Bombyx mori: one gene and its partner. The protein of the gene in region 1 binds, or shares a complex with, the protein of each later gene. Links are inferred from orthologs where the notes say so. Each region holds a gene or a part of one and is shown on either strand. Other genes may lie near its edges.

The links. Proteins that work in one complex are often made in the same cells at the same time.
Region 2: the proteins of protein preli-like (region 1) and TP53-regulated inhibitor of apoptosis 1 are in contact, whole or in part, in a crystal structure (PDB 6I3V), measured with the Homo sapiens proteins. The link is inferred for Bombyx mori from reciprocal best matches to the Homo sapiens genes PRELID1 and TRIAP1. Residues at the interface, in NP_037369.1 of Homo sapiens: Trp15, Asp16, Phe19, Ala20, Trp23, Gln24, Tyr26, Pro27, Val34, Leu35, Thr36, Glu37, Asp38, Ile39, Val40, His41, Arg42, Val44, Gln48, Lys49, Leu50, Leu51, Ser52, Arg53, Leu55, Thr57, Tyr79, Leu81, Asp83, Ser84; in NP_057483.1 of Homo sapiens: Met1, Asn2, Ser3, Val4, Lys12, Tyr15, Asp16, Phe19, Asn20, Trp22, Phe23, Phe27, Leu28, Gly30, Asp31, Ser32, Phe41, Tyr44, Gln45, Val48, Gln49, Ile52, Ile57, Pro58, Ile59, Leu62, Glu63, Phe64, Met65, Gly66.

Annotation. Positions count from the first base shown.
Region 1 is NC_085131.1:12,968,452-12,972,649, reverse strand, and holds the start of protein preli-like, read right to left. Parts: upstream 2,801-4,198; 5' UTR 2,547-2,800; exon of another isoform or gene 2,329-2,546; intron 2,174-2,328; 5' UTR 2,084-2,173; coding exon 1,992-2,083; intron 1,180-1,991; coding exon 1,072-1,179; intron 1-1,071. UniProt on the Homo sapiens protein: Involved in the modulation of the mitochondrial apoptotic pathway by ensuring the accumulation of cardiolipin (CL) in mitochondrial membranes.
Region 2 is NC_085114.1:6,725,069-6,727,904, reverse strand, and holds TP53-regulated inhibitor of apoptosis 1, read left to right. Parts: upstream 1-1,453; 5' UTR 1,454-1,659; coding exon 1,660-1,806; intron 1,807-2,028; coding exon 2,029-2,130; 3' UTR 2,131-2,336; downstream 2,337-2,836. UniProt on the Homo sapiens protein: Involved in the modulation of the mitochondrial apoptotic pathway by ensuring the accumulation of cardiolipin (CL) in mitochondrial membranes.

The DNA of each region.
Region 1 (4,198 bases):
GAGGTACGCGGTACAACCTTGAAAGGCTGTTTACAACATTCGTCGTGGTACATTTGCATGACTCAGAATGAACAATTAACGAGTTTCATATATTAATGGTTATGATAAAACGATATTTTTAATGTATTGTTTGCATAGAGAAATTAACGATTTGACCGTTCATCTAATGTTAAGAGAGCAATGACATCAGAATGTGATGGCATTTTCCACCTGGAGACTACAGGTTAACTCAGAATTCACATTATTTGACAAAGTGTAATTTATTTTGTTACTAAATAAACAAAACATTACATGCTTGCCCGTGTGCGTCTTTAAATCTATGGCATATTTCAAGTACACAAAATGAAAGATAGAATAATGCAGAAAAATAACACTTATGTATGGTATTTTTTTTACAAAATATTCACTTAATATAATAAATAGTTTTTTTACATACAATGTAAAAAATTATAGCATTTGATTACTAATTTACTCAATTCTATCTAAGTCATGATTGAACAACTTCTTCTTAAAGTGATTTAACAATCACATTTCGGATATACTCATATCCCAGTAGTAGAAACACATTTTATAAGGCAATAATAAGTCATAGTCATGAAAATTAGTCAATTTTGCAGGTTTGATTTTTATAAACAATGTTACTAGATCATGTGAGTCGGTCATAAAAATATATTTCAAATATACAGAGAAATATTTGTGTCTGCCAAAGGTTTGATAGCCAGCACACTTGAATCACTTAACACCAGATCTTTCTTCGACAGAGTTTTCCCATGTTAGATATTTGGCAAGTTTAAACTTTTCTGTTTATCTCCGGTTGGAAATTTTTGTATAATTAATATACAGGATGGTATGGATTGGCTAAATACTAAAATGAGCCACTCATTCTTTCTGTATTTTTAAAATAAAAAATTTGTCATTTGATTTTTGGAAGTTTATTGGCAAAGAATTAAAACCAATTTTAATAACTATAAGGCAATTTCTTCATAATTTTGAATTAACTACAGACAGCTTTTTAGCCTTAAAAGTTGGAATTGGTTGGTTTGTAATACTTCAGATATTATTACTACTCACCTTTCACCCCATTTTGGAACTCTGTTGGTTTTAGTCAGGAGCCGCTTTGTATAAAGACAACCGTCGCGAACTTGTCGGCTCCATGTATCTTCAGATAGGACGTGAGTACTGGGTGAAACATTAAATTAAGTTCATACAATTTACAGGCATAATACATAATATTTTGTTTCGGAATGTCAAAAAGAACATTGTTAAAGAGCATGACAATAAACTATATTTTTATAGGCTTTTATGAAGTAGTTAAGTTCATTTAAGTAAATTGTGATTTACTATATTAGCAGCTTATTTAAGCTCAAGTGCTGTTAAGTGTGGATCTCATAGACACCACATAGTGAGCTGTTCTACCATAAACCAAAACATAAGGTGGAATTCTCAGTAATGTAATAATTTCTAACTATTCCATCATTGAAAAGAATACAGGCATGGTTTGTGGCATGACTACTCCTATAGTGATGTTATCCAACCGTGCATGCATTCTTTAAGTAATATCTACTAACACTAAAAACTAGCTTGAAGAATCTTCTTTCAAATAATAACAAACAATTTTATTTATAGTGACTATACTGAAATTTTATTGAATTTAATAATCAATTTATTACAATAACAATTGACAATTACATAGAATTGGAAAAGAAATAACAATAAAGAAATAAAAAAGGAAGTTTTAATTGAATTTTTCTTCTAAAGAATCAATCACATAAAGCATTCAAAATCATACAATAATTATATCTGACATTCAAATGATATTTAAAGAACTTTTGTCTATCTGTAGTATGTTCTAAAAAAAAAATACTGACCGGTATTTGTCAGAGTAACAACAATACCGGTTTTAACTTCCTTGATGCACCTTTGTCTTTTTTCATAATGAAACATTTAAAAAAAAACTTTAAAAAATATTTGCTAAACACATTTTAACTAACCTCTGCGGATTTGGGTATCTCCTCCAGTAACCACGCGCAACTTGATCCCAACTGAAGTTAAAGACCGAAGTATTTTCGAAATATCTCGTCATTTTACTGTTTAGACTTCAATGCTTTTTACTTCAATTATATTTGGTCTTCATTCCAAAACAGAAGGAAAACGTCTTATCTTTTCAATACATCTATAGAATAAATGATAAATTACAATGTGTTATTCGTAAACTTTGTCAAGTATCGTATTACATAAATCAAAACTAGGTCAATAGTTAAAATACGAAGTGTTCGGTGATCGGCGCCTGACCCTGGCCGCTAAGGCTTTGTGATGATTGTCACGTACATTATCGATGGGTTGCACAGATGTAAACACCAATACCGCTCAAAAACAAATATTCGAAAAAAATCTTTTGCACTAATAATATTTGAACTCACAAATAATTACATAAACCGATAACTAAGATGTCTGTCTGTCTGAAGTCCTAGCATGGATACTATTAGTAAATAGTGTGTTTTTAACATACTTTGCTAAGTAATATATGAAGTTACTTAGAAACGCACCTGAATGCCGGTTTTTTCCTTCGAAATTTAATCCGGGTGTAACGTGAAATCACCTTCGCGAACTTCAACGTCTATATATAAAGAGCAAAGTGCAACATAGTGTTAGAGCACGTGTTATCATTCATATTTTCAGGTGTTTTCGATAAAATTCTGATTACTGACAGATAATTCGAGAGTCCATTGGTGTTTGCTTACATAGATTATACACTAAATGTTTGCTTACATATTATTGTATAATCTGTGGCTGATAATAAATAGCATAGAGAATATTTGAGAGTCTGTTGCTTATGATCTACACTCAAAGGAAAAAGGGCGGGAACGTCAAAATAAATAGGCGCTTTTTTCAAGTTAATTTTAATTTATTTGGTTTTAGCCCTTTTTTACGACATTGTCTCTTAATTTTTCACTGTGTTAGAGTTTAAAATTATATTCCATAAGTGTGTTCCGTATTAATGGACGATGACGACAGGGGTGAGGGCTTCAGCTCCGCCCCTGTGTCCGCTCCCAAAATAATGGGAAAACGAAGATTGACCTCATCTGAATACGACGAAAGCCGCAAAATAAAAATGACTTTCATTAAAAATAAGCGCGGTCTTTTTAAAGACCACCATGCTCTTTATGAAGACCTTACAAAAAAAGAATACCCAGTGCTTCTTCAGTCAAGCCTCTCGCAACCAAATAACAGAGTCCCAATGGATCTGTTAAGAATAAACAAATCTTTAAAAAATGTTCAAGGGGTACAGTATGTCAAAGCTGCTGGAAACTTTTTGCTAAAGTTTACTTTGGCTGTGCTCGGGATGCCAACGCTTTTTTATTAGATGTAAGCTTTATGGAGTTAAACAATTGGACAGCAAAAATACCTTACGATAGCATTGAGAGTCAAGGAATTATTCGAGCTCCTGTGGAATTAGATGAAGAATCTCTTTTAGTAAATTTAAAAGCTTCATGCACAATACTCGGAGTAAAAAGATTTTTCAAAAAACAAGAGAATGGAAGTGACAAGCCACTGCAAACTGTGCTGGTTACATTTTTGGCGTCTAGCCATCCTGATCACGTCACATACGAGCATATTTGGATGCCTGTTTCGGATTATATTAGACCTGTGTTACAGTGCTTCAAATGCTACAAATTCGGACATGGAAGTGGTGCCTGTAAAGCCACTCAAGTTTGCTCTATTTGTTCAGGCAATCATTTTTATAAGGAGTGCAGCACTCCCAACATCTTCAAGTGCTCCAACTGCAGTGGACCACATTCTGCAGTTTCTTACTCTTGCTCAGTAAAGGCAGCCAAGGTTGCTGAAGTTAAAAATAAGATCATCGGCAAGCAAACATCATATGCAGCCATACTAAAGACTCCTGTTATTAAGAACCCCGTGACCTCTTCTGACATACCTATATCTGCGAAGACCCCTCAAGGTAGGGCTTTAATTTCAGACATTATAAATTCAGAAATTGTCATCAGAACCATTACAAAAACTTTAATAGAATTGTTAAAGAAAAAGGATTCTAAATCCCCTTCTGGACCTATATCTACTCAATTAATTAAAGAAATGCTAGTAACGAATTTTACATCATAAATTATGGATAGTTCTACTCAATCTTATATGCATAATTCTGTTGGTCAGTTTAATATCATTCATTGGAACTCTAGAA
Region 2 (2,836 bases), on another chromosome or scaffold:
TTAATTAAACAAATGATCACCCTTAAGTTTGCCTCTTTTACTAGATATCTTTATTTTTACCGCTCAGATTAATTAATGTTGATCAATTAGCGTTTGTTCGATGACTATCGGTGATTGTTCGATCATAAAAACAATTAAATTCCCAATTATTAATCATTTTATATCTAATAAGCAGACGAATCAGAGAATTGTATTGCTAAGTAACACAAGATTTTTACATTCGAACACTAATGAACAAATGTCGAACAAATAATTATTAATAAAAAAAATCCGAAAAACAAAAAAAGAGGGGCCAAATTCACTGAGCCCATATCAAATCAAATCAAATCAAATCAAAAAATTTTTATTCAACATAAATGAAAGTACATACTTGTTGAACGTCAAAAGAACTACCGCCAATTCACAAGAACTAGCCTCCGTCCTGAGCAGAATTGGCAAGAAACTCAGCGGGCATGTCTTTTTTTATTTTTTTTTATTAGATTATTATTTTTTAAATATGAATTTTTTACAATGAGTATTATAACGTAACAATTACTACGATATTGAAATGCCCGGAGCGAGCAACTCATTCCCACTTTGTGCAATCTTCTAGATAATCATTGACTTTATAGTAAGCTTTATTGCACAGATGTTCTTTAATAGTTTTCTTAAACCTATGTATGTGTAGGTTCTGAACATCTTGTGGGATTTTGTTGTACAGGCGCACAGACAAACACCCGAATGAGTTTCGTATCTTATGTAACCTACTCATCGGCACAACAAGCTTGTGTTTGTTCCTAGTATTTCTATTATGTATGTCAGACTTTTTAGGAAACTCCTCAATATGTTTACGAACATACATCAAATTTTCAAAAATGTACTGGGATGGCATAGTGAGAACTTTAATTTCTTTAAATTTCTCCCTCAGGGATTCCCTTGAGTGCATGTTATAAATAGCACGTATAGCTCTTTTCTGCAGAATAAATATCATTTCTACATCGGCCGCATTGCCCCATAGCAAAATGCCATAGGACATGACACTGGAAGTAACTAAAGTAAACTAAACGAGCCGTGTCCGCGTTTGTTAACATTCTAATTTTTTTACTGCGTATGCTGCAGAGCTGAGCTTACTCGCCAATTTATGAATATGAGGTCCCCATTGCAGTTTGGAGTCCACTGTTATACCAAGAAATACGGTTGACTCAACAAGCTCCAATGATTCCTCAGAAACAATTACATCACTATCCACTTGTCTCACATTTAAAGATGGTTTAATACCATAAACACGCATACAAAAATTATTAAGATTGCGCTAAAAAATAACGGCACTAGAATTTTTTAATTCTGATGTATCTCCACAGATACAAAGTCAAGAAAAGGGCTAGAATATAAATTAAAATAGAACATGACTTAAGGGTCTTAGTTACCAGGTCATAAAATCCCTTAAAAAAATACAATTTATAGATAATGCATAGAACACTTCCCTTCGCTAAAATAGAGTTCTGTGACACTTCCAATGTGCCCGTCTGATCATAAATTGTACACATTATTTGATTTTGGTGTCCACTACCAAATCTGAAAGAAACATCGATTGTAAACGAAATTAATTGGGGATAACGTTTTAATTTTAAACTTTGCGGCAGAATTTACTTAATTGATCTCCAAAAGATTTAATAAAAAATGAACAGCATTGGCGAAGAATGTACAGACCTAAAGAAAAAATACGATGATTGTTTCAATACTTGGTTCTCGGAAAGGTTCTTAAAAGGCGATCAAGATGATTCTGTTTGCGCTGGAATATTTAAAATTTATCAAGAATGTGTTAAGGTACACATTTTGTTTATCTTATCTTCAAAGAAAAAAAATTAACGTTAGAGTTTCAAGTGAAAGATTGATAATTCAGAACATAATTCTTCTGAACCTAACAAGGTTCATATAGTTCATTCCAAATTAAATCATAATTCAAACATAATAATCCAATATTTATTGAATCTATGAAATATGAAACTGCACTCATATATCTATGCTAATAGTGTACATTAATTTCAGAATGCAATGAAACAGCAAAGCATTGATTTCAAAGAAATAGATAAGGATATCTTAGGCACTGAAAATGAATACAAAACACCACCAAATGCAAATAGTAGCTGACAACCCAAATTGGTCTGTGTCTTTAAACCCACAGCCTGTTGCAATATCCTTGGCAAGTTTCTTAAGATTCCATGCAGTTACCAAGATTTCAGTGATAATAGGCTTACAGTGAAAGAGGAAAATGAATGTGTTAAAACTTATGAAGTTTCTTGTGTGAATGATGAAAATTAGTGAATAGAAATAAATGTATAATCGATGGATTAAAACTTTTAAGTCTAATTTTTTTAATACCACTGATGAAATAGTTCAATATTTACTCCATTCGACATATTATATACTATGCAGTGTACAAAAAAAAACAAGTTTCAGTTGCTGAGTGAAATACACAATTTTGTTAGGATGCATTAGTAAACCCCTGACTGTTGAACCAAGGGTTGTGGGTTCAATTCTCATATCAGGAAAACATTCGTGTGATGAACAGGTTCGTTTCTTTGTCTGGGTGTCTATTATCTATGTATGCAAATATTCAAATGTATTTAAGGTTACATGTTAAGTCGACCGATTTCCGTTAAGGGCATGTAGTTTATATAGTTTCTGATTGATTTGACTATGAAACACATCCTAAATCTAACCGATTTAAAGATATTTGCATTTAATTGTTTTTTATAAAAATACCTGATTTTTGACTATCAGCTTAGATATTTTCAAATGCGTAAATCTTATTATTATTATTATTACATTTTTACTTTGTAAAATAAGATTATGT